Linked DNA regions of Nothobranchius furzeri. The main gene of each other region encodes a partner of the protein of the gene in region 5 in a complex. Links are inferred from orthologs where the notes say so. Each region holds a gene or a part of one and is shown on either strand. Other genes may lie near its edges. The genes, in order: cript, rbmx2, eftud2, snrnp40, crnkl1, bud13 and plrg1.

Region 1 (4,226 bases), on a different chromosome or scaffold from region 5:
CTGCCTGCATGGCCTTTCTGCGTGGAGTTAGGATGTTCTCCCCATGCTTGTGTGGCCCTTCTCCAGTAACTTGCTTCCTCCCATGGACCAGACACATCCATGAAAAGGGTTCAATAATGACTCTAAATAGTCTCTAGGTGGGAGAGTGTATGTTTGAATGGTTGTTTGTCCTTCTATATGACTGGAGACCTGTCCAGAATGTCCCCTAGCTCTCATCTGATGATGATTAGCGCTAAAGATGAGCCGTTTAGATCATGGATGAACCGAATTAAAATGAAATGAAACTCGGATGGTTTTGTTAGCTCTCTTCCCTTCATAAAGGACATAATCCTTTGAAAACTGCATTTAGTTTAGTTTACTCAAGTTCTCTTTGCCTGATGTTGAAATTTGTTTGATCTGAACCATTTAAGTGGGACAAAAAATTAAACAAATAATATATGAAATGTGTTAAGAGACAATTACTTTTTTCACACCTAAATAAAATAGATCATAACAAGAAACGCTTACAATTTCTACTTTTTCATCACCTCACCTTACAATATCCAAAACTTACCTTCATTTTCACACATCTATTAAATTTAATTAAAAAGCAAGTTGACTGATGTCCATTTCCCTGTCCAAATAATAATAATATTAATAATAACAAACGAATACATTTTGTAAAATTCATAAGATACCTTCACATATCACATAATACATTTATATGTCGAACATAATCAACAATTCACTTTAAAAACATTATCTAGTTGTTTTGGCACCTTGTATCCCAGTGTGTGCTTTTTGGTGGGCGGTGAGATGCCGAGCAGCCAGAAGATAGCGACGCTGACACAGGTCACCGTACCGGACACCGCGTAGACCCACAGCAGGTGAGTCCCATACACTGAGAAGCCCGGGACAAACACCGCGGGGATGACCGTGGCCATGAACACCGAGGCGGTGATAATCGCGTGAGTAGACGCCATAGCTTTAATTTCATGGTCCCACATGATGAAGACGTGAACTATTTACAACAAGAACCCGATAACGATGCGGGGAAGTCAAATAAAACACCTAAAAAACGTAAGGTAACATTGGGAAACTGTCAGGTCTATGTATTTCTTTTCCGCGTTTCCGTAAACACGAAGACGTAAGAACGTCCGCTTAATTTCACAGTAAAAGTCTACTGCGCACAGACATCTTAGGTGAATGATGAAAAAACATCCGTTTCGAAACATATTATCATAGATTATCGGGTCAGTTTATTTCAATTTCAAGTGAAAAAGGTGTATGTTTTACTTGTTACTCAATCTCTGCTAATGAATACGCTTGGGTTAAATAAGGTAAAAGTGCTTGACTTTATCAAACATTTATTTTGAAGAACCTATAAGCAAATAAACGGGAAGTAGTAAGTTATAGTTCGCGTTGCGTAACTCAATTGTTTTAACCAATCACAGAAGATGTTACTCGTTAAAGCAACCAATGAAACCTGTCATTTGAAATGCCTCAGCTGACCGGACGTTTACATTAGCAAAGCAAGCTAAAGCTAACAAACGATCATTTCTACTGCGTCATTCGACACACCGCAAAGATGGTCTGTGAAAAGTGTATGTATGTCATTTGCTTCTGATTTTCAGACGTATTGTTCATTTTAAAATCTGATGAACGTTACTTTTGTCAGCGAAAGTCTCAAATGCAAACTAGAAGGCCAATAGTTTAGTTCTTATTGTATTTTCCTCCATAATTGTTTTGTTTTATATTTTAGGCGAGAAGAAACTGGGAAAAGTAATTACCCCCGACACTTGGAAGGACGGAGCACGGAATACAACAGGTGACCCGAGGAATGCGTAGTGAAATGTTTTTTTGCCATCAGTATGATAAATTGCTGTTTGTTAATTATTCTAGATATGAGACTTGTTGTCTTGTTTACAAGTTACTTTTGAAAATGTAATCATTGTTTCTATATTTTTTCACGTTACTAGCAGGTTTAGTCCTCATTTGGTTGATCACGCCATAATATAAATTAATTGGTGTTTATTTTTTTTATATTAGTATAGGTATAGTAACATTTAGATGTCCGTGTTTAACAAGTTTGTCTTCTTTCTTTGTGTCAGAGAGTGGAGGACGTAAGCTAAATGAGAACAAGATTTTGACATCCAAAAAAGCCAGGTGAGTAAAAACAATTTATAGAAAAAAATAAACTTTAATTACAACAATCTAATGAATGTAAATACAAATATGAGAAGTCAGAGAAAATATTCTAAACGCATTAATATACTTATCTTAAAATTACCTTCTTGAAATTGAACCAAAAACTGTTATTTTACTAAAGTTCAACCTTATCATATAAAACTTTCTCACCACCATATTTGCTTGGGCATACATTTTGCTGCATTGGCACAAATCACCACATGAATCATCATTAATCATCTGTCCTTAGTATTTTACTTTATGAACCACGTTTAAATCCTGATCTTCTTCATTTCTTGCAATCATAACAGTTGATTTTTACATCATAGCTGGAACACACTCTTAAGTAACTGTTGCAAACCTGCTCTGAAGAGTAAAAGACCATCAAATCTTCAGCAGTCATGAGATGATTGGTCATTATTTCCCCATTCATCCACTCTTATGCTCTCTTAGTTAAATAAAACTTAGATCGTCCATATACAAGTTAAAGGGAATAGGTGACAATATCTGGTGAACCTTATTAGTAACAGAAAAGGAGTAGCTCTCATTTGGTTTTTAGTCTGATTGTAAGATTTGTATAGAATATGAGGTGACACCTTGTTCTTAAATCTTCCTAAAAAGCCCATCATAATGAACTCTTATCTGAACTATTCCTCAGAAGAAGTCACACAACGGTTTAGCTACTGTTTTTCAATGTTGTATATTACTAATTCAAAGTGGTCAGCTGATATAACTGGTCATGTGTGTAACAATTATTTTCATCAGGTTTGACCCTTACAGCAAGACTGGCTTCGCAATCTGCAGGATCTGCAAAAGCTCAGTTCATCAGGCTGGATCTCACTACTGCCAGGGCTGCGCTTACAAGAAAGGTATGAAGTGATTGTGCTGAAGATTTAGTTTTGTGTCACAAAAACGCTACAGCATTTCTATTAGCCCTTTTACATAAAACACACACACACATGCTCTCTATTCAACACCCTGCTGAGTTTTTCACATGTAATCATGTCACCAACAACATTATCCTTTTCCTCTGAGACAAATCCATCTGCATCCTATAGGAAAACGTGACAGTAACTGGGACGAGTTGTGAAACTGCAATGTTTGTCTGTTGTTGAACAATTCAACTTGTGACTTTTCTGCTCAGATGTTTTCATTTTTCAGTGTGTCTTAGTGTCAGAATCCGGAGAAAATTACAGCCTCACATCAACAGAGACTGTACTTGCATAATCTAGAGCCATTCTCGATAGGTTTGTTTGAATACAGTGTGTTTGTACTGTATTTAGGCTGAATGATGAAATGTAAACAGGGCTTTATCTAAAAAGGCATATCTTGATGAACATTGAAGCAAACTGTCTTAGTTGCAGGAAATGAAAGAGTGGAGTGGCCATGTTTCAGATGGTTCATCAAACATGGAAGATGCTCAGTGAAACAAATCATCTTTATAGTTTGCTGAAGTTTTCTTTTTTATTATAATGATTTCAAGGCCTACGTGTCCCATTGAACCTGCTGCCTTTGGTATGTCTTCATGATGATGCCTAGGTAGACTCACAATTAGGAATAGGGCTGCACGATATTAGAAAAACCTGCGATATTCGATAACAGTGTTTAATATTGCGATATCGATATTACTCACGATAAATGAACAAATACTAAAGTATGCAGTGTTGATGTCGTCTGGCGTGTGACGTCTGCTCTGGGTTCAAAGCAAACAAAACTAATGCATGAATTCCATTACAACATAACATTTTTATTGCAAAAATATGCAGCTGCACCTGCTACTGTATTAGTAGCAAAACAATAAACTGCATGCATGCAGTTTCTCAGTGACTTTAAAACATCACCTCCACCATAAAACTTTTTCTGATGCTCCAAATGCAGAAAAACATCCCTTACCAGGGTTTTTGAATAAATAAAAAAATATCAGAAAATAAGTTTAAATGTTAAATAATAGTTAACATCACTTAAATGGAACAGCAAATTCTCTCATTGCTACTGAGCATTTTCTCCACTTATGTGGTTATGATATAAGGCTGTTGCTGCTATTGGGAAGTGAACTGTGC
Region 2 (4,132 bases), on a different chromosome or scaffold from region 5:
AAATGCTTCACGAGTTCGCCAACGTGTTGCTTTGTAAAAGTCTCACCCGTCCTCAGGTGTTGGACATCAGACATGAAGTGTATCAGGTGTTCAGGTCAGATTTTAATACGAAACATTAAAACACACACACACACACCATGGATCGGCCAATCACAACCTGTCTATTTTCTATACGGCTCCCGTTTCCTGTTGTCTCCGTCTTTTCTTCTGTCTTCGTCCCACTCCCTCTCTCTTCGTCTTTTGTCTCTGTCCATCTCTTGTCTCCTATAGTCGTCTCTTCTGTCCTTGTCTCTGTCCACCTCTCTCTCACAGTTCCTCCACTTGTCTTCATTCCTGTCTGTCCCCTTTCCTCTCTCCGTGTCCCTCGTCCTCTGCCCTGCAGGCACCTCCTTGTGGTTGTACTTGTCGTAGGCGGCGTCTTGCTTCTCCTCTTTCAGTCTGAAGACTGCAGGAGGAGGAGAAGGTGATGAAGAGGGAGCTCTGCTCTTCTTCCTCTTCTCTTTCTTTTTTTTCTTCTTCTTCTCTTTCTTATCTGAGACAGAAAAGGGAAATAAGTCCACCTGGTCCTAGATCAGGTGACTTTCAGGTAACAGGAAGTGACCTCACCTTTTTTGGGCTTCTTCGCAGGTACGACGCACTGCTCTTCTTCCTCAGAGGAAGAGGGGACAACAGTAGGACCTTTGGGAGCACAGCCCTCTTCTCTGAGATGTTTGGTCACATCGTCCATGTCCTCGTTGTCTTTGGGAGGACGATAATTTTTAACGTGATCCACGCGGATAGTTCGACCTTTAATCTGAACGTTTAAACAACAACAAAAAGATTTTAGCTAATTGTCTCATCAGAGACCATGTTGATGCCGCTGTGGGCCAGCAAGGAGCGGCGCTGGGTCCACACCAGGACCTGGTGAGGACAGGAAGTCACCTTTATGCCATTGAAGTTGTCCACTGCCAGGATGGTGCTCCTCTGGTCCTCATAGCAGATGAAGCAGAACCCTTTAGACTTCCCCGTCTTCTTGTCTCTCACCAGGTTGATGTTGACGATCTCTCCGTACCTGGCAGGTTTGTCGAGAGGAGACAAACGTCACTGTCATGTCAGCTATAACGTAAAGCAGGTGAGACGTAAGCATGTACGTACTGGGAGAAGACACAGATCAGGTCTCCTTCAGTCAGCTCGAAGGGGAACCCTCCTGCAGGAAACGAGACCTCGTAAGCATCATCAGAACCAAACAAACCCACTTCAACAGTTTCATTCATGAGATCCCTTTTTATGTTGTTAATGAACAGAAGCAAATCGTCTCCAAAAGCCCAAAACACCAAACTCATCCCAACGTCTCCACGTGTGAAGGGCTGGGTTTGAGGAGTTCTCACCGATGAAGATCCAGGCACTGTCCCGGTACTCTGTGTGCCAGGAGACGGTCTCGCTGATGCCGAGGTCAGCCTCGCGCTCATTCAGCTCGTTAATCAGCTTCACCTTCGTTAGAGGACTGAAAACACACAAGTTGCTCAGTAAATCGTCCCGTTAGGGACTGGACCTGATTCTGACTCAATTGGAGTTTTATTGTGAAAAGCTGTCAGGACAATTTAGAAAGAAAAACTGCTTTTTGTTTGGACTACAGAGAAAAAGAGTCGAGCTTTTCTATTCAACCCCAACCTTGAGCCTGACCCTAATGACCCTTCAGCAGCAGCAGGCATAATCCTGTTCCTCCAGCAGGACCACGGTGTTCCTGGTCGAGCTGCTCCGTTTCACTTGTTGGCTTGATTTAAATTTGACATTTTAATTCTGAGGGCTGTTGCCTTGCAGCAAGGAGGTCCTGGGTTTACATCCCAGCCCGTCTTTCTGCATAGAGCTTGCATGTTCTCCCTGTGCATGCGTGGGTTCTCTCCGGGTACTCCGGCTTCCTCCCACAGTCCAAAAACACGACTGTCAGGTTGATTGGTCTGCCTAAATCATCCTTAGGTGGCTGTGCATGGTTGTTTGTCCTGTGTGCCTCTGGGCTGCCCTACGATGGACGATGGACTGGCAACCCATCCAGGATGTACCCCGCCTGCATGCCCAGAGACTGCTGGAGATAGGCACCAGCCCCCCAGAACCCTGTGAGGATATGCGGGTTCAGACAATGGCTGGATATACATGTAAATGTGTCCCCTTTGACTTCCGGGGTAAATACGATCGGAGTGGTGTGTTTTATTAGTCGAATGATCTTTTTTTTTGCAGCAGACGTAGAAACATTCATGAGAAAAAGATAACACCACATATGACCAAGCTTGTGGTCCTGTCTTCATCAGCAGTTGACATAAATTATTAGTCAACTTTATCAGACACACTGGTCTAGAATAAAACACGTAGTAGAAGGTCAGGGGTGTAAACAAAACAATAGCCAACCTACACATGATCAAATGTCTTCTTGAAGCATCAAAGATACATGCTACATCCCAAACACAACTGGGTGTTTATGTTTTATTACATGCTCTCTCTGGTTTTTAAGGAAAAAATGTTAAATTATCTGTTTTTTGAGCAGAATCCGATCGGCTACGAGTAGGAGCTAGCTAACAGCTAGCATGCTGCACCAGGATCAGTCATCAAACCGCAGAATAACGAACTCGCTCTTTTTACTTTAACTACACGACAAGAAGTAGAACAGTGTTGTGTCGGTGGTTCGTGTCATTTATGAATACATAAATGTACTTACTTCATAGTTAGTTACAGAAATTAGGGCACAGATCAGACGTTTTATTTGTTGAGGTAGACCACTTCCGTTTGGTTCGTCTCTGCTGCCCTCTGCAGTTTGGAGATCTAAACTACAAGCGATCATTAAACATGTGCAGATTATTTCTCTCGGGTTTATATAACACACCCAAACCATCTAGGTTGATGTATCTGAAGCAATTTCTTACGTAGCTATGAGTTCACTCATCGTGAAGTTAATAAATATAAAGTTATTAATGCAATCCTCATTCAACCTCCTGTCCACAAGGGAGCGCTGTGGGGCTACATGCTAACGGAGCCGTGTCGTAAACCGTAGCTATAACCTGAATATAAACCCAAAACCTTTCTGTCAGGTTAGCTTTGTAACCCTGCAGACAATGAGCTTATCTGGTTGTATTCAGCGTTTCTGAAAACTGCGGCCCTGTGAGTTATTAAAGTTTATCTATAGCTTACTGCTAGCCAAAGCAGCACCAGCCGTGCTTTCATTTCCTTTGAAGTTCTGTTAAAAATAGCCGCAGTAAGATCTGGTTCTTCCAGGTAGACCCCACACCTTCCGCAGGCGAGTACAGCAGCTGTAACCCCTCACAGATCCACCTTTCCGTTAGCGGAACTTCTGTAGTTTTATCTGCAGGTTCTCACCAGTACACAACAGTGCTGTTAACACTTATAATACAATAAATTAGATAGGATTTGGCTTTATTCCAACTCTGATAAACATGTTGTAACGTGACGGAAGTGGTCACTTTTATTAAATGATCAATAAGGTGTGATATTCCATATAAATATTAGTTATCATTATCATTAATCTTGTGCTTGTGATCTTCCTTTCAGGAGGATGATCTCTCAGGTCTTCATCCTGTCCTCCAAGGGGGACCATCTCATCTACAAGGACTGTATCCTTTTGCTTCCAGTCCCGTGAGACTTTACCCTATCAGGAGTTAGAGCTTAACCCAAGCCAACAATCAGACCGAGGCCAAAGAGGAAACGATGTGGTCAACATCTTCTATGAGAAGGTCACAGCGCTGACTGGAGACCAACCTCTGGTCGTCACGGTAACGCCTCCACAGTCTGGGACACATTTAGACCCAAACTGTTGTGTTGTTTTGAGTTCTGATTTGACCCAAACACGAAGAGTAGGTCAAACCAGAACCACTAGATTAGAAGTCACATCAGGATGAAGCAACGATGTTTCGGCGTCTGTTTACTGTCTGAGGAACTGGACTGAAACCATGCAGATGATTCGAGAGTCAAAAGTAAAACAAACCTGATTCTGTGTCCCGCAGAGCGACAGAGACCTGCACTTTGTACATGTCAGACATGAAGGCCTTTACTGGGTCGCCACGACGACAGCCGACTCCTCACCGTTCACCATCATCGAGTTCCTCAACAGGTTTGTTCTGGTTCTAAACAGAACCTTCAGATGGAG
Region 3 (3,500 bases), on a different chromosome or scaffold from region 5:
AAGCAGTGTAGAACATCCAGAAACTTTCAAAATAAAAGTCACACGCAGGTAAACGTACATCCTTTCCGGTTGTAACCCCCGTAGCCGATGTAAACAGAACAGAACATAAACAACAGACCTTTTTGATACATGCAGGTGTTGTTCTCCATCCATCCATCCATTGTCTGAACCCACTTGTCCACGTAGGGTCCCCGGGGGGGGGGCTCTGGTGCCTATCTCCAGCGGTCAACGGGCAATCAGGCGGGGTACACCCTGGACAGAGAGCCAGTCCATCACAGGGCAACATAGAGACACACACACACACACCTAAGGACAATTTAGACAGACCAATCAACCTGACAGTCATGTTTTTGGACTGTGGGAGGAAGCCGGAGTACCCGGAGAGAACCCACGCATGCACAGGGAGAACATGCAAACTCCATGCAGAAAGATCCCAGGCCGGGAAGCGAACCCAGGACCTTCTTGCTACAAGGCAACAGCTCTAAACACTGCGCCACTGCGCAGCCCAGTGTCATTCTCCTTGCTTGTTATTGTGTGTGGACTTTTGAAATCACGTGTAGTGTCGCAATTCTCCTGTGATTTTGTGACATCCTGGGGTCGACAGCGTGGAAAGCTCTCACTCCCTTTTTGCATCAGAAACAGTCCTGATTGGGAATGAACTCGCGGGTAAACCGCTGCTGTTACGTTACGCGACCGCTTTCACGGCTGGTGGAAAGAAGAGGTGAGACTGATTCTGGCTAAGGAGCCTTCAGATCTTGGATTCCTGTCGTTTTCTGTTAAGATTGTATTTTCTATAAGACATTGGTACACTAAATGTGGCTCACAGTGGGTAGTTCCATAAAAGCAAACAAAAAGGAGCATTTTTTTTTCAACAATTTCAAATGATTTGAAGTGGCAATTAGAAAGTACTCGTACTCTGTTTTAAATATCTGGTATTGGTGCATACTGATCTGCAGATCTAACATAAAAAGAGACTTTGTCTTCCTTTTCAGCACGTATTCCACGGATGAGAACTTGGTGGTGTCTCCTCTCCTTGGAAACGTGTGCTTTGCCAGCTCTCAGTACAGCATCTGTTTCACGCTGGGGTCGTTTGCAAAGATCTACTCGGACACCTACGGTGAGAGGCTCATCCTTAAGCAGCTGTAACTACAGTGTAGTTCTCTCAGGACTAATTCACTCCTGACTCTGGTCCGTAGGGGACATCAACTACAACGAGTTTGCCAAGCGGCTCTGGGGAGACATTTACTTCAACCCCAAAACGTGAGTCTCAGTGTCCGCACACGTGGAGCTGATCTTTGTTCACATAACTCAGGAATTCCTTTCTGCTTATTGTTTAGTCGCAAGTTCACAAAGAAAGCTCCCAGCAGCAACTCTCAGCGCAGCTTTGTGGAGTTTGTCCTGGAGCCTCTTTACAAGATCCTCTCACAGGTTAAACATGCCTTCCTCAGTGCTCCGTTCGTCCATCAGACTCAGGTCCAGCTTGCCCGGTGTGTAACTGTCCTTGTGTCCAGGTGGTCGGAGACGTGGACACCTCTCTCCCTCGAGTTCTGGATGAGCTTGGGATCCACCTGACCAAAGAGGAGCTGAAACTGAACATCAGGCCTCTGCTTCGGCTGGTCTGTAACCGATTCTTCGGAGAGTTCACCGGTATGACTGGATTTGAACCGCCTTCGTTTGTCTAGAAATAAGTTTTTCTTCTATGGGAAAAGTCTGGAGTGATGGCCAAAGTGCAAAAATACAAGCTTGTTGTATATAAAGTAGGGTTGTCACGGTAACCGGTGTAGCGGTAAACCCCGGTAAAAAAGTTGACAATAATAATAACCGTCTTGTTTTTAACAAAATATTATCTCGGTGGGTTACCGTGGTTGCGGTGTAGGCGCCATGACCCTTACCAGCCACCGTATCATCTGCTGAAGTTGCCGGCGGCACATGCGCGCTTTGTTGTTTACAACCAAAACTTTCTTGAAGCTAAAGCTGAAATAATGGCCAGAGGAGGAGACGGCAGCACTCAGGACATTTATTATCCCTCAAAGAAGACAAAGTGGGTATCATGGACATGTTTTGGATATATGAAGAATGCCGAGGGACAGTTGATAGAAGACGGCTATCCTGTTTGCAGCACGTGCAGAAAAAGTGTCTGTGAAAGGCAGCAACGCTTCAAATCTCATGACCATCACCCACAACTCTACAGTCAACGCAAGGCAAGCTAACGTTAGCGTTTTAGCTAAAACGCGTGATCCGAGGATTTGGGTTGAGGGAGAATGCAACGAGTTGCTATATAAAGCAGCCGCAGCACCGCTACCTGCATATACAGGTGCTGGCCAGTAAATTAGAATATCATCAAAAGGTTGAAAATATTTCAGTAATTCCATTCAAAACGTGAAACTTGTACATTATATTCATGCAATGCACACAGACCAATGTATTTCCGATGTTTATTACGTTTAATTTTGATATTTATAGGTGACAACCAATGAAAACATCAAATCTGGTATCTCAGAAAATTAGAATATTCTAAAGGCCAATGAAAAAATGTTTGTTTCTCTAATGTTGGCCAACTGAAAAGAATGAACATGAAAAGAATGTGCATGTATAGCACTCAATACTTAGTCGGGGCTCCTTTTGCCTCAATAACTGCAGTAATGCGGCGTGGCATGGACTCGATCAGTCTGTGGCACTGCTCAGGTGTTATGAGAGCCCAGGTTGCTCTGATAGTCGTCTTCAGCTCCTCTGCATTGTTGGGTCTAGCGTATTGCATCCTCCGCTTCACAATACCCCATAGATTTTCTATGGGGTTAAGGTCAGGCGAGTTTGCTGGCCAATCAAGGACAGGGATACCATGGTCCTTGAACCAGGTGCTGGTGGTTTTGGCACTGTGTGCAGGTGCCAAGTCCTGTTGAAAGGTGAAGTCTGCATCCCCATAAAGTTGGTCAGCAGCAGGAAGCATGAAGTGCTCTAAAACTTCCTGGTAGACGGCTGCATTGACCCTGGACCTCAGGAAACAGAGTGGGCCAACACCGGCAGATGACATGGCACCCCACACCATCACTGACGGTGGAAACTTTACACTGGACCTCATGCAACGTGGATTCTGTGCTTTTCCGCTCTTCCTCCAGACTCTGGGTCCTTGATTTCCAAAGGAAATGCAGAACTTGCTTTCATCAGAAAACATAACTTTGGACCACTCAGCATCAGTCCAGTCCTTTTTGTCCTTGGCCCAGGCGAGACGCTTCTTGCGCTGTTTCTTGTTCAAGAGTGGCTTGACACACGGAATGCGACACCTGAATCCCATGTCTTTCATGAGTCTCCTCGTGGTGGTTCTTGAAGCGCTGACTCCAGCTGCAGTCCACTCTTTGTGGATCTCCCCCACATTTTTGAATGGGTTTGTCGTCACAATTCTCTGCAGGGTGCGGTTATCCCTAGAGCTTGTACACTTTTTTTCTACCACATTTTTTCCGTCCCTTCGCCTGTCTGTTAATGTGCTTGGACACAGAGCTCTG
Region 4 (4,062 bases), on a different chromosome or scaffold from region 5:
ACACACACACACACACCTTATTGGATTTCACCCATGTACAGACGTTTATCACTGGAGCCAGACAGCACTGCAAAGACACAGAAAAGAATAAATGAGTGACTTTTTCTTGTGTTTGGTTCCGGTTCCTGTTCTGTCGCTCACCTATGGGCTCCTCTGGGTGAAACACCACCTCGTTAACAGAACCGGCGTGGCCCGGCAGCTTGTAGAGGATCCTGCGAGACGTGGTGTCCCAGATGTACACAAATCTGTAGCAGACGCACAGAGCGGGGAACAAAAGTGGCTCTCAGTGCCTTATCTTTACTCCGTTTGGGTTTAAAAAGTCACCAAAGCGTTTCTCACCGATCGGCTGATCCTGCGGCTACTTTACTGCCATCAGTGGACCAGGAGCACCTCAGCAAGTTCTGAATAAACAGGAAAAGAGGACATGAGAAGAACACAGACCCGGAGCTTTCACAGCTAAAAAGCGGTTTTCTTTAGTCCAGATATGTACGACTTCTCAGATTGACCTAGAAGTGAATTGTTCATTTGTCTGCTAGTGAAGATTACCTTTTCAAAGTTGTGAACATTACCCTGGAAAATCTTCACGCACCTCTCCTTGGGTGCAAACGGCCGCACGTCCCAAATTCGCACTGCAAAGACACGCGAGACTCTTTGAGGGATGCGATTCAAGCACAGATGAGCAGGATCAGAAGCCGAGCATACCAGTGTTGTCCATGGAGTTCGACAGAAGGTATGACCCCTCGGAGCTCAGGCTGAGCCCGGTTACAGAGTCCCCGTGTCCATGCATGTTGTAGATCAGCTTGTTCTGTCGCAGATCCCACACCTGAGCAACACAAAGCTTTCAGATCAACGACCAGGAGAGAATTTTAGGCTGGAGCCGATTTGTTGCCTTCGACATTTCACATTTTTGCAACAATCAACAAAAAATAAACTTGCGTTTGGAGTTGAAGCAAACAAAAATGTAAACAACCAAGGGCTGACAATAAATCTCACTGAACATCTTCAGTCAATCAACTTTAAAATGGCTGAAACAGAGCATCACTGCAACCATCTGCTGTTGTTAAAGGGATTAAAATGTTTAGTCTGACTTTCTTCAAGATAAACAGTTTAATGAGTCCCTTTAAGAAAAACTGTTTTTTTAACCTTGATGTCGTTGTCGATGCCTCCAGACAGGATCTGATCACTGGTGTCGTTAAACGTCACGGCCAGAACCTGGTAGGTGTTCTGAAAGGTGTGGATGGCTCCTTTTTTGCGGATGTCCCACAGCTAGAAAACAAAAAACATCAGGCTAAACAAAACGTGCAACAATGTAGGTGTGTGTGAACGGTGTGTGTTGGACCTCATTTTCACAGCAAAACACCCAGAAAACAGCCTGACCTTGATCGTCCCGTCGTCGCTTCCTGTACAGACCAGCTGAGGACCTCGGCGAGCTGGATAGCAGGTGTTAACAAAGGAGGTGTGTCCCTTCAGACGTTTGACCCTCTCACCTGTCTCGCTGTCCCACACGCCAACAGTCTTGTCCGTGCTGGCTGAAAACAACAAGCTGAACCACACAGACACCTCTGTATCACACTTCTGACTCAAGTTCCGCAATAATCCACCAGATATTAGTTGATCATATTCCACCGTCTCTACCTGCCATCTGTGTTATAATGCAGCTCCATCACCGCTCCGCTGTGACCCTTCAGGGTGGCGTAATTCTCACAGTCTCCATACACGTTCCACAACACTGCAGCATGGTAACAGAGATTTTAAAGCGGTTTTAACAAACATATGTCTGCTACTGTTTGACACAAACTTACATATGAGTCTGTCGAATCCTGAAGAGGCCAACACAGCTCCATTGGGGTGAAACTTGCAGCAGTAGACCTCCCCCTCATGGCCAGACATCAACATGATGGGAGCCTGCATGCTGGAGGTGCGTGGATGGCCCTATGGGGATCAGTGATTTAGGTTTGCAGCATTATGGTGCAGAAACAACAAGTGGTACTTTACTTTAAATGCATACGAGCTGGATGACTTGCTGAGATCTAGCAAAGAGAGTGAAGTAAATGCTCCCTTTAATCATGTAGGAGCTGGAAGTAGATCCTAATTGCACCAGTGGCAATTACAATCTGGTGTTTCCTTAAGCTTGCATTATGATAAAAGGTGATATCTGTGTATATATATTTTACCTTTGATGCACAAGTGAACTCTGATCATCTTGACAGTTTATTTATTTATTATATATGCTTTGTTATTTGAATCAAATATTAAAAAGGAAGGCTGTTTTAATAATAAATATTGTTACCAATAAAATACATAATTACAATAACCAACACGCTCTTGAAAATAGTTTTTTTGCATATTGAATTCTATTGTCAACTATTCTGATGTTTACATTAATCATGAAAACGTGACTAAATCTGCTTACATGGTCCGGTTAATGAATACATAAGTCCCCGGCTAGCATAGCTTGCCCTTTTCTCAAACTTAAAAACATAACTACTATAAAGGTGGTAAGTATGATTTAATCTTGAATGTAAACGCAGTCGGATGTCACCAGGGCTACGTTACCGTGGCCACGAGCTGCTGAGACTGAGCCGCCGCTACTAGCTCCATCCGTGGCCGCTTCAGCGCAGTGGGAACCATCGCCATGTCTCCGGGTCTCTTTAGAGGTTCAATCATTGCGGGGAAAGTTAACAAAAAGCGGCTAAATAGAGTAAATGCAAAGCTAAAACTTAGTAAAATTAACGGACGTCTTCGACGAAAGACGTCTGAGGAAACAAAACCACCAAAGAAGACAGACACTGAAGTACTTCCGGGTTCAAAGCTCGTGATTGGTGGAAATTTGCGCAGGCTGCAGTGATTGGCTGATTTTCTTCCTGGCGTCAATTTGACCTGGAAGTATAACTAGCACAGTTTAGTCGGTGGAAAAGGTATTGCAATTATTTTTATTTCTTAAGAGTTAGAGTCACATTACGCAAAATATATTAATTATAGCACAATTGTCTGGTTTACTAATGTATCATAGAGCAGTTTAACAGGAATAGGTTAGAGGGTTTTATGTAAACACCAATGCTCGTGTTGCGTTTATCCTGTTCATGTTTCCAGAGATATTGTCTCCTATAGTTTTTACTCCGCTCGAATTAATGTAATGGAAAGTGAAGTTTGAGGTAAGATAAATCCATGTTTTGAAAATTAAAACTGATTTACAATATTAATAATTCTATTTGTTCGTTTTTGAGATTAGCCTAGTTTCTTTAAATCTGACAGCTGCAATTTTTGTCTGTGTTCTTTGTTTTTATTTATTTTTTTGTGTTTGGTTCTCAGTCTGTTTCACATGTATGGAGTGTTAGAAAATATGCAGTTACCGTTTAAATAAAATTTAGACCATGGCTGGTCTTTTTAGTCTAGTTTTAATATTATTAAACTGGGTTATTTGAGCTTAATTCTTAATGAAAACGAAGAAAAAACATTTTAATTGAAGGATAACTTCAACTGAACTTGATTTATTGCCTACTCCTGACTTGTGAAAACATAATAGTTGTCGTAGAAAGTAGTTTTATGGATTTTTATTTAATAATTTTTATTCACAATATAAATACTTAAATTTATTCTGTTACTTTGTAAAAGGAACAATATTGCTTTTATTTTGGGTTTCTTTAACTTTTCCTCGTCTTTCGTCTTTTATCTGTGTTGTGTTATTGAATTGAAATATATTTAATCCTCCAACTGTTTGCCCAGATTGAGACGATGTCCAACCGTGACCGCTCGAGTCGAGAACCAGCCGGGCTGGATGGTCTGCCTCCGATGTACAGCATCGCCAAGGGAGAGGTGGTTTCAGTGCAAACATATGGAGCTTTTGTTCGACTGCCTGGTTACAGGAAGGAAGGTTGGTAGAAGGCTGAGAGCTTGTAATCTTTAAAAATGAAATACCAGTATTAGTAATATTAACCAGCTGAGTGAAGTGAGTCCTTTAAAGCAGTAATGGATCTGTAAAAAGAAAAATAGGAGATATTAGATGACTACAGCTAACTTTATATTTTTTATTTAAAAAAAACGTTTTCATTTAATACCATA
Region 5 (4,262 bases):
AGCTCACCATGATCTTTCTGGAGTTCTGAAGATTCTTTTGTCGGATTTCAAACTGAGCATGAAGCAGCCACATCTTAGCAAATGTGAACTGAAAGAGAAGAGAAAGCACGTCACAGCCTGGTGGTGGTGGGGGGTTACATCATGGTGAAGTTCTAAAGACCTTCTTGTGAGGGATCAGCTCCAGACAAGCCTGGTAAACCTGCCTCGTCCTCTCCGGGTCCTGCCGACACATGTCACCGTTACACCGGTCCGTCAGCGCCCTCTGCAGGAACGCTGCAGGACCACTGACCTTGGTCTCCAGCTCCTCGTACAGAGCGTAGTTGATCCACAGGTAGATGTAGCGCCTCCAGTGTCTCTTCTCCTGCAGGGGGGGCACATTGGCAATGGCTCGTTCGTAAACCTCTCTCACCGTGTCGGCGTCCGCATCGCTCTCCACCAGCCGCAGGTAATCAAACCAGGCGTCGTAGTTGTGTGGGTTAGCCTGAAGGACGAGAAGTTGCTGAGTTTGGGCCACACAGCAGAACACCTGCCTCTGCACACCTGAGCCCAGAACCAGACTTCATCTCTGACCTCCAGACAGGTGAAGTACCTTCACTTCCTCTTCGTACTGGAACCTCCGTTTGCTGACGATCACATCTTCGATTCCTCTCCGGTCTCCAAACTTCTTTTCAAACATGGTGTAGTTCTTGAAGAGCTCCTGGGCCTGATGTTTGGGGATTCTGTCCAGTGCGTACTTGTAGATGACTCGAACACGCTCAAACTGTCCAGAACAAGAACAGAAGTAAGAGAATCCACCCAAACAAACCCATAAACAAAGTTCTGATAGCACCCACCTCCTTCTGTGTCTCCTCAAACTTGGCAAAGGCCACAAACAGGTTCTCCTCCACGTGTTCCTCCCCGAAGAACTCCACAGCCCGCTCGTACACCTTCCTGCTGTGAGCCACATATCCGTGCTTCTCCTCGAAGCGAGCGTATTTGATCCAGTTCTTCACCTCCGGGTGAACAAGGACGAGTGAAGACGAGTTAAAGAACTTCCTGTCTGTTCAAAACCACGCGCAGCCCATCAACCACCAGAACCAGGGTTAGTTAAAAACCGGGTCAGAAGGAACAGAGATGTTCTCCAGTACTCTGTAGGATCAGGTTTAAGGCATTATGGGTCTGAATCTGTAGCTGAACCGGGTCACAGATCTTTGGTGTTTTAATTCGAGTCTGACTGGACCTGTTCCGGTTGTTTTTATGGAACGTGTGTTCTAACCCCACCATTCTAGGTTCTACTGGGCTCCAGTAGAAAGGATATAGTGCTCGTAGATGGTCCGGGCTTTGTCCACCTCCTTGTAGCGCAGCTCAAAGTTGATGTAGGAGTGCCAGGCCTGTTCTTCGGGTTCCCACTCCATCCAGCGTTCAAACACCTGCCTGCAGCCAGCCACGTTCCCCAGCATCTCCTCCATGTAGGTGTACTTGTACCTGAGCAGAACATCAAAAACGTTCCAGCACACACGTGAAGGCTCTGACAGAACCCCAAGCTATAGAGTCCTACCAGAACTGGTTGACCCGTGGAAGGATGGTGATAGCTCTGTCCCAGATGTTACGAGCATGATTCACCTGGCGGCTCTTCATCTCCATTTCGGCGTACTTCAGCCACAAAGTGACATTGCGGTGATCGACGTCCAGCGCTCTTTCATAAATGGACCGGGCCCTGAACCCAGATGAACAGTGTTTAAACAACTAACCAGGTTACCTTAAACCTCTAGTTCCAGCTGTGGTGATGACCTAAATACCTCTGGATCTCCTTCAGACTTTCCTCCCACTGAGCGTACTTAATCCAGTTACTGATGATGGTCCGGTTCTTCCTGATGTTGTCTTCAAAAGCCTGAAACACAGTTAGACCAGTACCCATCAGACGTGTTGTTTACCTGTTAGACTAACCCACCCATGGAGGCTACGCTCTCTAAATCACCTTCCTCTTCCTCAGCTTGTAGTCGTTCAGCTCCTCCTTATCGGTGATCTTCTGTTTGGGTGGCGGAGGCAGAAGCTCCAGCTCCCTCTCCTTGGCCTCTCTCAGCAGCTGCTCAGCTGTGATCTGGACCTCAGCAGGAGCTTTGTTCTTCACCTGGAAAGCAACACAATAAGCTTCAGGACCACTCCTCGGTACCACTCCTGTCCTAGAACCAGAACCAGGGTCCGGTGCGATTTTACACTCTTTAAAACCAGAATTGGCCAAAAAGTCTTTCTGCGTTTTACCAGAACATTTGATCGTTTTTGAATTTACAATTTTTTTTTTGTTTTGTTTTTCTGGTTATGATCGATGAGCCGGGCCGGACCAGAACCAGTGAGCTGAAACATTCTAGGGTTGTGCTGATAAATGGCACTTCAGGTCCAGCATGGCAGAACTACTGGACCTTAGCAGTGATGCTGAGATCCCAGGTGACCGGAACATCTGGGGGAACCAAAGCTCCCACACATCCAGGAGCAGCCTCTGAGCTCCCGGTGGAGGACAGGAGCTCGTGTCTCTGGACCCGGGCCATCAGAACAGAACTCACGGGTCACTACAGCTAAACAGTAATGCGTTAGCATTAGCTTAGCCGCTCTTAGCTCCGCGCTCCGGTCCGCTTACCTTCGCCACCTTCGGTATCCGCTGTTTCCCTGCCGCCGTGGAGGCCATGCTGCCGGTGTGTCGGACCAGACGTTCTCTGTAAAATAAAAGGTCCCAAAGAAACGACTGTTTCAAAGCTTAAGCCACATAAACGTTCCGTTTGCTGCTCCAGCCACCATGACAGTACCCACAATGCTCTGCGACTTCCGGTACGTTGGTATAGCAACGGAAGTTACACAAAGGGAGAGAGTAAAAAACTCAATTTTTTGTACCACGTGACTGAAACCCTCCTAGCTGCAGACGTAGCCCCGGCCAAACACCCCCCACCCCCCACCCACCCCGACAAAACACGCCCCCCTGTTGAGATACCCCCGAGCTCAATAACGGCGGCCCTCCCAGCGAACAACACAATTGAAAGAAAATAAATATAGAAATAGTAATAATGTAATTAAACAGACAGGACTCCAGGTTTAAATATGAATGTATGGATTTTTTTGGCCATCCCCAGTGAGATTATTTTTATTTCTTGTATACACACTTCATGGCCATCCCCAGTGAGATTATAAAACACAGATACCACCAACAAATAATCAGTTGCCGTACAATAGGCACAACATACCTATGCTTACTGACGTTAGCAGGTGAGTAATGTATGTGCAAGTGTTTATTTTAAATGCAATAAAATAAAATATCAGAAAAAGTAATTAGTGGTAATCGTTTTAATTAACCCCTTAAGCCCACTGACCCCCATTTTTGGGAGCACGCCTCCTACAGCAACATTTAACTTTCAACCATTTGTTATTACAGGCACTAACAGTAGGTCTAAGTTCATACGAGTGAGTAGTTAATATTTATGTTACTATCTGTGATTTTTTTATTGCTTCTTTACAGTGAAAAGCTGCTGCTGTGTAATTTTTAGGCATATTTACATGTGTATATATGCATTTCATATATTCTGTTAACAGGAATAATTGCTGGCCCTTTCACACAAAATGTATTGATTTAGAAATTACTAAAATATTTTGCATTAAGTATACAATTCACAAGACTAGTAAACTGATATTGACCATACACTAATCTGTAAAGAATATACTGTAAACACAAAAGCAGAAAAGTTTGGCTTTAGAAAAAAAAGTTCTGACAAATGAAACAACCAGCAACAGCTTTTATTGGCCTTACAAATACCTTCCAAAAAATAATAATAATAATAAATGTCCACACATTGCTACAACCTCTTGAAAAATTCAGATGAGTCCAGAGCTTTTCTGATTTTCTCCGAGTATATGAGCAGTTCCATGGCATAGGACATCAGCTGCCTCTCACTAGTGAGACAGAGATAAATAGCAATTAGTAAAAATGACATTTACACCTAGAGGCTGTCATAACCAATGTGAAAACAATACATATAGGAATTAGCACTGTTCTTGTGTTTGTAGAATACCTCCGGGCTACCACATTGCCGTCGTGAGTTTGCTGTTTATTAGATGAGGAGTCATAAACGGTCAAATAAATAGCCTATTGTTACGTTTATTTTGGCCAAAAGGCTTGCATGTAGCCCATTAAAAATTATATAAAAAATTTGCGTCCATAACGTTTTCCCCCACTGCCAATAATGCTTAATTTTATAAAAAAGGGTTTCAGAAAAAAATTACGAAGGCGCTATCTGTCA
Region 6 (4,016 bases), on a different chromosome or scaffold from region 5:
CATGTCTTTTAGGTCTCAGAGGATTTGTTGGGAACTGAAAGAGTTGTGTGATAATCTGGGTTATGAGTCTGAGAGCTTTGACATTCAATCACTTTTATATAAAAGTGATTTGAACTGCACAATTCTTAATGGCTTAAAACTAAAGTACATTAAACTTATTGGGGGTAAAATTGGACCATTTTGCTGTTTTTATTTAAGTGTGTAAAACAGATCTAAACAAATGTTTCTACAGAGCAGCTGCTACATGAGGTTGTGATTGAGCCACCATACACCACGAGATAAAGTTACAGTCATTAATGAGGTAGCAAATAAATAATGAATACAAAAAGGTGCAACAAGGAGGCAACAAAAACTTGTTAAAATATGATAAGAACAAATAAAAAAGATGCAAAACATCAAAGTACATTGTGTGTGTGTGTGTGTGTGTGTGTGTGCGCGCGCGCGTGCGTGCGTGTGTGTGTGTGTGTGTGTCAGAGAGAGAGAGATAGACAGATCCAGGGCCTAAATAAATCATTATGATGACATCACTGAGTTCCTCAAGCTAAAGATCTTAAATCATCACTACTTTTGAGTTACTGCTGGGAACAATAACGTGTTCAGTGTCTATCGAGTAGAGTCAGTTTCTAAATGGAGCTAAAGCATGTCTCCTACAGCACTGACAGAATGGTGATGGTGATAACAAATGTCGTCTTTGTTTCTGCAAATAGAATTAAAGTAAACATTAATTCTTCTTTTTTTTCATTATAAAAAATCTAATATTGTTTTACTGTGCCATCCTTATTTTATCACACAAAATTGAATTGTATTTGTTTTAATCATTTGTATTTCCAAACAAGAATCAAATGACCACTTGTTTTTTTTTATTATTATTTGTATTATTTTTTTTAATTACTGATTTGGTTCCCTGATGAAAGACTCCTATTATCAAAATTAACACTTGTTAATGTGATGCTTTTGTGTCCAAAATGAGGGAAAAAATGTCTGTTTGTCAGTGTTAATTATTCGTTTTATTTTTCTATTTGTTTTATTTTATTTATTAGCAAAAATTAGATGGAAAATCAAGCCATAGCTCATCCATTTTTACATCAAAAAGATAAGCGGCTTGTTTAGCAATTGAGTATTTTCAGTTTTACAACAAAAGCCAGATTATGACTCTTGTGGTATTTTTTAAAAAGAAAAATATATACCATAACAAGGATGGTGGAGCGGTTTACCCCTTTTGATCCTCCGCGCTATCCGTAGTTTCGGACAACAGTCAACATGGCTGCCTCCAATGGCGTCAGTAAAGGAGCTGAGCTTTCTAAAGCTGAGTACCTCAAACGTTATCTGTCAGCCAGCGAAGATGCTAGTAAATCAAAAGGAAAGATAAAAAAGAAACGACGCAAAGTTCCTGAAAAAGGGTGAGTTTGTGAGAGAGTTCTATAAAGTTTCTTTTCACTTGTATGCTAGCTGTTTCGCTAGTCACTGTGTCAGTTATCGCTTTTTTGTTACTTGGTGACATTTATTATTTTCCTTTTATTTCAGACTTAAAATAGTAGATGATGATATAGACTGGAGACAGATGGTCACAGAACCGAAGGAGATTGAAGAGGAGGAAGAAGAAGAAGCTCCTGTGGTAAACAGCTAGCTAACGTTAGCTTTTTCGAAAGACCTTAATTCGATTCAAACGCTTTTAAAGCAAATCTCTCCCTTCAGTAATCTCTGGCAATATTAAGACAGGCGTTCAGTTTTAGACTCCATACATTGGGTTGAGTTTATGAAAGTGTATTCACAAGTTTTTAGACACTAAAACTTGATCCCAAGTGGGTCAAAATACTTAGAATGTTTTTGTGCCATTTTAATAATTTTTGTTTAAAAAGATCAAGAGGAAGATATTTTGCACTATAAACAGGGCTAAACAAGTGCAAAATTATAGTTTTTTTTCTTGCAACAAATAATAATTTAATTTGTGGAAAAAAAATCTTTTTGCGTAATCTGTCCATATAATCCAGGAGGGAAAAAAAGCTGAATTCTGACATAAACAGAGACAAAAAAACACAAACTTTTATTTATTAGAAGGTTCTAATGAGTGATGTTTCCTCAAATGTTATGGAAATGCAATATGGATAAATTTGTGTGCCCACTAAGATTGCTGAATTCATTGACGAGCGACCAGAGGAGGTGAAACAGATGGAAGTCTTCAGGACCAGCAACAGATGGAAAATAGTTGGAGGTAAACGTGAAACACAAACAAAATCTGTTCCTTTGTTTAAGAAAATCATCATCTAGTCTTCCCTGTAGCTGATGAGAACGAGGAAGATGAAACAACGGGGGAACGTGTAGAGTCTTTGGAATCTAGCAAAATTCACCAAGACTCACCGGAGAGGTCATCAAAAGACATGAGACACAATTCTCCCATCAGAAAAGCAAGACATGACTCTCCGGACACATCTCCTCCAAGGAGAGGTCGCCACGACTCTCCAGACTTGTCACCTTCAAGAGGGCATTCAGGGAAATCAGGAAAGGGCCGATATAAAGGTGAGTGATAAACGTTTTTTTCTGTGTCTCTCATGGACAGGCATTTGTTTTAGCATCCTGTTCTCCACCACTGATTGAAGCATATTCAGGGTTTTTCCTGCATTCAAATTCGGCCGCCCCAGCCTGATTTCACTCTGCCCCCAGCTATATGGGTGTTATTTTAACTGCAGTTGCAGCGTTACGCCCCTACAGGGGCGCTGTATCAGCAGCGGCGCACCGAAAAGCACTAAAACCACTGCAGACAAAGAAGATCAAAAACTGCTTTTCTCGCTAGTTACATATCTATGGTTGGTGTTATTGACATCCTGATTTTCCCCCAGGCTCTTCCATATCAGAGCAGAGCTGTACAGTGTGACGAAAAGAACTGTCTGTGCGTGTCTGTCTATGTTTAAACGTAGCACTGGTGCAACATCTTTGAATTACTATTTTCCCCAGAACTTTATTGAACAAAGTTAGTTGCGTGTAAGAAAAATGCTTTTTACCGGCGCAGTGTGGTCATCTGGATGCAGTGGAGGAAAATACAGGAACCAGCAAAGGCAGAACCGGTCCAAAGTTTGGGATCAAAAGTGCAGCTACACGCAGATTGGCTAATGCTAAAGCTAACGGTTAGCAGTCTCACGATCAAGTGGTGCACAGAAAAATATATGATGGTAAAACTAAGAAAGACTAAAATCTACAAGCGGATGAAAAGTCCCCACCATCCTGTTTATTCTGCATCCTGCAGCGCTATGGATCAGAACCGCTGCAGATACGAGTCACATTACTGCCACAATGCTGCAGTCGCCATGGTAACTCTGTCTCCCTATCCCACCCTGGGTGGGACTGCGACCGGTGAAGGCCATTGAATCGTTTCCAGGAGTCACTGTGCCCTCTAACCCACATACCTCCTTCCCCTGTCCAAACGGAGGTGACGAGCGCTGCTTATCGCGGCTGCATGCACTGATGTGTGGAGAGTCCCAGACCCTACCACCCCACCTAGTGGACACTTATGTTGTGTAATGTCTGAAGTCTGTTGCATTTCTGTCTGAGGTGTTTTTTTGCATAGCAAAGCTGCCCTCCCTGTCTCTGAAGTGCCTTTTTTCCCTCCACCTGACCCAATCCTTATGTAAACCCTCCGGGTCGCGAATGACCACAGTCACCAATTCTTGTCATGTGTCTATGCCTATGTATGTATGTCTGATCTCAGAATTGTGTGTACTGAAACTCTAATTTCCCTCTGGGATTAATAAAGTATCTTTGAATTGAATGGAACGGCTATGGCAAGCCGTTGTAGTATATAATTAACAGACGCTTCTATCTTTCAACATAATTTGAACTGGATTATTGCCAACCCGTACATAATAGACATGCCACCATTACATTTTTAGCAGCCAAAATTAAATGTTATTACCATTTCTGATACAAATGCATATTAATGAAATGCATTATATAATTATATAAGTATCTCGGGGTCTTGTTCACGAGTGAGGGTAGGAGGGATCGGGAGATCGACAGGCGGA
Region 7 (4,052 bases), on a different chromosome or scaffold from region 5:
GATGACCCTGAGCTAATCCAAACAACGTACCTTGTTGTACTCCAGATCCCAACACTTGACCTGTTTATCTTCTCCACAGGAGAAGAGGTACGGACTGCGGCTGCTCACTGCTACACCACGAACGGTACTGATGTGTCCAGTCAGAGACAACTTCAGCTTCCCACTGGCCAGGTCCCAGATCTGTAGAGACAACCACCTTCCAGTTATCTCTGGATCATCACAGAAGCTTTAACAGCAACAGAGCCACCTTGGTATCACTCCCAAACGTTTTAACCCTTACCTAACATTAAAGCATTTTTTTGTGCTCAAATGACATTAACGTTAGAAAATGTAAACGTTGGGTAAGGGTTAAATACTGAAAGGATTTCTTTTTAAAAAACTGTATTGCAATGTCTGCACCTACACAAAATACAACAACCTGAATGTTTTACCAGCTCTAGATCAATAACAGCTCTTTACAGAATAGGAAAAACTATTTGGTGGAGAAGATGAAGTCTAATAACAAATCTAGACAGGTTCAGTCCTCTGAGACTTGTTACCATTAGAGACAAAAAGTAGCTTAAACCTGTTAATAAAGAATATAAAAAGCAGTTTAAAACCCTAGACCATTACTGATCCCTCTATCAACAGAGCTTTACTGCTTATATGTATTTATGGAGAATGAATGAATGAATGTAATAACAAACACATAAAAGCTGGTGTTTTACTCAGCCCGCCCGACCTTTATAGTTCTGTCTGCTGACCCCGTGACGAACCACTGATTTCCCGGTTCCACGGCGATGGATCTCACCCAGCCGAGGTGTCCGCTGATAACCTGACAGATAACGGTCACCACAGTTAAACAAGGCAGCTTCTAATTATTAATGTTGTAAACAAATGCAAGACAACTTGTGAAACAGTTGTTACGAACCCGAAACAGTTTCCACGGTGGATGCCACTGAGGTTTGGGCATTGTTGGAGCTCTCCTTATGAGCGCTGAGTTTCTGGTGCCACCTCCATCTAAGAGAGACTAAAAGATATACTTCAAAAGGTCATTAAGGATTTTTTTTAAGTAGCATGAAAGACTTATGAGTAGAAATAAACTGGCCAACTGAACGACACATTCATTAGCATTATAATGTAATTTTTATATTGTAAAATTAGTTTTGTATGTTTGTGAAGCATTCTGTCTTGCAACACTGTTCTGCTTACAGAATTTGATGCGACACTACCAGAATGAATAAGCAACATAAAAGTTCCATGGTGTTAAAGTTAGCTGAGCTCGCTATTTGTTTTTTAATTTATTTTCAAATTAGTGATTTTCTACTGCAGAAAAGAAACCCAATCTCTACTGGATTATTAGCTTTACACGTCTTTTTAAGACTCTATAAGCACTAACAAGCATTCTGGAAAAGTAAATTCACTGTGGTTTACCACTGCAGTGGACGGAGGGTGAATTCTCTCTGCTACTCCTGCATGTCTATGGATCTCTGCAACGCTGGCTGCAGTGCGACTGGCGTCCTGCCTGAAAGTACATGACATAGAGTATGTCAGAATATTTATTTTAACCATAGATCTGTATGCCAAATTGTTACCAGCATGGATTAAAAATAAATAATAGCCTACCTTGCTAGTGAGGGTGGTAAAGCCAGTGTCAAGGAGTGCACCGCTCCTTCACTGGGATTCCTGTGGATTTTAGTGTCGGCGGTGAGTGCCACACCTGTGGAGCACAAGCTACTGTTAGCACAAAATTAAAAGTAGTGCGGATTCCTAAAGTAGCAGAAAACAAATCTACCTGGTCCAGATGGATAAGCATTGGTCCCGGTAATCAGGTATTCTGGATCATCGCCTAAATAGTTTTAACAGAGTGAAAACATTATTAACTTTGGCTTAATCGCTCAAAAGAAGTTAAACAATCTATGTGATCCATAAAACTATGCAATATTTATTTTGACGGTTAACTAAGAAACAGTCACAGTGTGTTGCTCCCTTACCTAGCTGTGGGTAGCTCTGATGGCTGAGCATGCCGTCAGGATGATGTGAGACTCTTTCTCTGCCCTCCTTTAGGATGGGCATGTGTAAAACTGGTCCATACTCTGTCTTTAGTTTCACACCCATCTTCTGTTTGTGACTGCAAACACAGTCATTCATATACATGTTATACCGCCAAAATGTAAATGTTATCTAATTGAGCAACAACTCTAAACACCGTAAAAAATAGTTTCCTCAGAAAATATAAGCTGAGCAAACATCCATGTTTCTTCACTGAACGTTAAGCAAAAAACGTATCCCGGCGCATTAGAAAACATTAGTGAGGTTTGATCTGTAAATATTTACAAACACACTTTGGAAGCAGCCTGGGTTACCTTTCGTCATCCAGAGCGATAGCTTTAGCATGGTCGGCTACGAACATGTCATGCGTCCTTTTCAGCGATCTGAAGACCAATGTGTGGACAGAGTGCTTCTGGACATCCTGTAAAAAGCGAGAATTTTATTTAAAAAACATCGCATATAACAACCTAATAAAAAGTTATTTCTCACTCAATAAACAGTGAAACGGGCAGAAAAAGGCTATCAATTCCAGTAAATAGACAGGCCCGGGAGTGTGTTGGACGTTTCCTAACATCCTAGCGGACACAAAAGACATACATGAATGTATAAATCCATACCTCCGTCATTTTATAGAGGAATATACCGATAGAACAAAACTGAGGAGGAAATAAAGGTCTGCCTCGGTAAGTACAACTTGGTAGTAAAATAAATCCTCCTGACCACCACGACAAACCGAACGTTTGAGATAACCCGGAAGTAAACACGACCAAGAGTTGTTAAAGTTATATCAGCGCCACCTACCGGTTTGGATGATTCAACCACTTTTCCTGTTCATCATCAAGGGCTAAAATGTGACAGTTCAACGTATGAATAAAGCATAAAATTATTATTTAAATGTTTAATTGTTATTAAGGATATTTTCTATCAAATGACCCACCATGCTAGTTATGAGATATCTAAACTGCAGCTGTTACACACCTGCTTTAGACTCTATCAAAACCTGGATGGTGGGAGCTTTCTTCAGCTGAATGAAGATAAGACTGAGATCCTCATCTGTGCCCCAGACAAGCTGGTTCCCAAAGTCAAAGACTCTCTTGGTCAGCTTGCTTCTCACACCAAACCTTCTGTCAGGAATCTTGGCGTGACCTTTGACCCAGCTCTCACCCTGGATTCTCATGTCAGTTCTGTCATGCTCTGAACTTCAGATTTCATCCACACCTTCGTCTCCTCATGCTTGTCCTGCAACATGCTTTTCACTTGTCTGGCTTTGCGTGACCTCATGATCACCCTATTCTTCCTCAATAGCTTCTTTTCAAGCTGGTGTTTCTGTTAATTCTATCTTTTTCAGGATCCAACGATAAGCTTCGATCTTTTTAAATAATAGAAAAAATGTTTTTTGTCATTTTTATTTTTATATGAACCACCTCGTGATTTTTTAATTGAGAGGTGCAATATAAAATTGTTATTATTATTATTATTATCAAAAATAAAAACAATAATAACATAATTTGGATTGACAAGGTTGACAGATTAAATTAATTCATGATGCACAGTAACACAGAAATACAACCAATTAAAATTTATGTCAACTGATGTTAAAAGATTTAAATAATAATTAACGTTCTAATGCATTTGAAAATAGTCCGTAGAGAAACAGATAAAGTAAATTGAATTTGGTAGGAGCAGTCCTGAAAATCACGTTTCATACCAATACACTCAAGTGTTTATTTGCAGAGTCATACAGCTCAATTTTCTGAGCTAAAAACCCCACATTTTATTTTTTACATGGCACTGGAATTTACTGCGAGTCAGATGAAGTTTGAACTCAACCATAGCTTTCTGAGGTGAATGTAATGATGCATCAGTACAAATACTACCAGAACAAAACTCAGAGTAGATCATTTGTTCAATTGTGAGCACAAAATAAACAACCAGCCTGACTTCTTATTAACTCCTAAGTGTAAGTTCTTATTCAGAGCTGGAACATTTGAGAATATAATCTCTGTTCCTTCTGAAAAATG

Evidence for each region.
Region 1: crnkl1 (region 5) and cript share a complex: the UniProt entries of both Homo sapiens proteins name them as parts of the minor spliceosome. The link is inferred for Nothobranchius furzeri from reciprocal best matches to the Homo sapiens genes CRNKL1 and CRIPT.
Region 2: crnkl1 (region 5) and rbmx2 share a complex: the UniProt entries of both Homo sapiens proteins name them as parts of the minor spliceosome. The link is inferred for Nothobranchius furzeri from reciprocal best matches to the Homo sapiens genes CRNKL1 and RBMX2.
Region 3: crnkl1 (region 5) and eftud2 share a complex: the UniProt entries of both Homo sapiens proteins name them as parts of the minor spliceosome. The link is inferred for Nothobranchius furzeri from reciprocal best matches to the Homo sapiens genes CRNKL1 and EFTUD2.
Region 4: crnkl1 (region 5) and snrnp40 share a complex: the UniProt entries of both Homo sapiens proteins name them as parts of the minor spliceosome. The link is inferred for Nothobranchius furzeri from reciprocal best matches to the Homo sapiens genes CRNKL1 and SNRNP40.
Region 6: crnkl1 (region 5) and bud13 share a complex: the UniProt entries of both Homo sapiens proteins name them as parts of the minor spliceosome. The link is inferred for Nothobranchius furzeri from reciprocal best matches to the Homo sapiens genes CRNKL1 and BUD13.
Region 7: crnkl1 (region 5) and plrg1 share a complex: the UniProt entries of both Homo sapiens proteins name them as parts of the minor spliceosome. The link is inferred for Nothobranchius furzeri from reciprocal best matches to the Homo sapiens genes CRNKL1 and PLRG1.

What each region holds. Positions count from the first base shown.
Region 1 is NC_091756.1:43,772,589-43,776,814, reverse strand, and holds the start of cript (cysteine-rich PDZ-binding protein), read left to right. Parts: upstream 1-1,426; 5' UTR 1,427-1,567; coding exon 1,568-1,583; intron 1,584-1,741; coding exon 1,742-1,807; intron 1,808-2,090; coding exon 2,091-2,145; intron 2,146-2,931; coding exon 2,932-3,035; intron 3,036-4,226. Other genes in the region: pigf (phosphatidylinositol-glycan biosynthesis class F protein), read right to left, coding at 759-986. UniProt on the Homo sapiens protein: As a component of the minor spliceosome, involved in the splicing of U12-type introns in pre-mRNAs. Involved in the cytoskeletal anchoring of DLG4 in excitatory synapses.
Region 2 is NC_091750.1:26,772,697-26,776,828, forward strand, and holds rbmx2 (RNA-binding motif protein, X-linked 2), read right to left. Parts: upstream 2,801-4,132; 5' UTR 2,695-2,800; coding exon 2,690-2,694; intron 1,484-2,689; coding exon 1,368-1,483; intron 1,187-1,367; coding exon 1,135-1,186; intron 1,052-1,134; coding exon 922-1,051; intron 794-921; coding exon 607-793; intron 533-606; coding exon 162-532; 3' UTR 83-161; downstream 1-82. Other genes in the region: ap4m1 (AP-4 complex subunit mu-1), read left to right, coding at 3,538-3,599, 3,673-3,758, 3,990-4,096. UniProt on the Homo sapiens protein: Involved in pre-mRNA splicing as component of the activated spliceosome. As a component of the minor spliceosome, involved in the splicing of U12-type introns in pre-mRNAs.
Region 3 is NC_091745.1:13,636,704-13,640,203, reverse strand, and holds part of eftud2 (116 kDa U5 small nuclear ribonucleoprotein component), read left to right. Parts: intron 1-992; coding exon 993-1,117; intron 1,118-1,196; coding exon 1,197-1,260; intron 1,261-1,337; coding exon 1,338-1,428; intron 1,429-1,511; coding exon 1,512-1,647; intron 1,648-3,500. UniProt on the Homo sapiens protein: Required for pre-mRNA splicing as component of the spliceosome, including pre-catalytic, catalytic and post-catalytic spliceosomal complexes. Component of the U5 snRNP and the U4/U6-U5 tri-snRNP complex, a building block of the spliceosome.
Region 4 is NC_091759.1:20,973,206-20,977,267, reverse strand, and holds the start of snrnp40 (U5 small nuclear ribonucleoprotein 40 kDa protein), read right to left. Parts: upstream 2,801-4,062; 5' UTR 2,668-2,800; coding exon 2,557-2,667; intron 1,933-2,556; coding exon 1,803-1,932; intron 1,730-1,802; coding exon 1,636-1,729; intron 1,544-1,635; coding exon 1,378-1,543; intron 1,267-1,377; coding exon 1,144-1,266; intron 824-1,143; coding exon 703-823; intron 630-702; coding exon 547-629; intron 402-546; coding exon 340-401; intron 246-339; coding exon 142-245; intron 68-141; coding exon 18-67; 3' UTR 1-17. Other genes in the region: zcchc17 (zinc finger CCHC domain-containing protein 17), read left to right, coding at 3,736-3,874. UniProt on the Homo sapiens protein: Required for pre-mRNA splicing as component of the activated spliceosome. Component of the U5 small nuclear ribonucleoprotein (snRNP) complex and the U4/U6-U5 tri-snRNP complex, building blocks of the spliceosome.
Region 5 is NC_091742.1:17,433,302-17,437,563, forward strand, and holds the start of crnkl1 (crooked neck-like protein 1), read right to left. Parts: upstream 2,801-4,262; 5' UTR 2,663-2,800; coding exon 2,615-2,662; intron 2,111-2,614; coding exon 1,958-2,110; intron 1,871-1,957; coding exon 1,779-1,870; intron 1,697-1,778; coding exon 1,538-1,696; intron 1,465-1,537; coding exon 1,298-1,464; intron 1,013-1,297; coding exon 834-1,012; intron 761-833; coding exon 590-760; intron 482-589; coding exon 290-481; intron 221-289; coding exon 161-220; intron 89-160; coding exon 8-88; intron 1-7. UniProt on the Homo sapiens protein: Involved in pre-mRNA splicing process. As a component of the minor spliceosome, involved in the splicing of U12-type introns in pre-mRNAs.
Region 6 is NC_091750.1:44,767,950-44,771,965, reverse strand, and holds the start of bud13 (BUD13 homolog), read left to right. Parts: upstream 1-1,216; 5' UTR 1,217-1,260; coding exon 1,261-1,400; intron 1,401-1,524; coding exon 1,525-1,615; intron 1,616-2,127; coding exon 2,128-2,212; intron 2,213-2,280; coding exon 2,281-2,517; intron 2,518-4,016. UniProt on the Homo sapiens protein: Involved in pre-mRNA splicing as component of the activated spliceosome. As a component of the minor spliceosome, involved in the splicing of U12-type introns in pre-mRNAs.
Region 7 is NC_091744.1:17,230,025-17,234,076, forward strand, and holds the start of plrg1 (pleiotropic regulator 1), read right to left. Parts: upstream 2,801-4,052; 5' UTR 2,658-2,800; coding exon 2,649-2,657; intron 2,453-2,648; coding exon 2,346-2,452; intron 2,111-2,345; coding exon 1,974-2,110; intron 1,829-1,973; coding exon 1,775-1,828; intron 1,700-1,774; coding exon 1,606-1,699; intron 1,505-1,605; coding exon 1,414-1,504; intron 1,010-1,413; coding exon 911-1,009; intron 815-910; coding exon 722-814; intron 181-721; coding exon 31-180; intron 1-30. UniProt on the Homo sapiens protein: Involved in pre-mRNA splicing as component of the spliceosome. Component of the PRP19-CDC5L complex that forms an integral part of the spliceosome and is required for activating pre-mRNA splicing.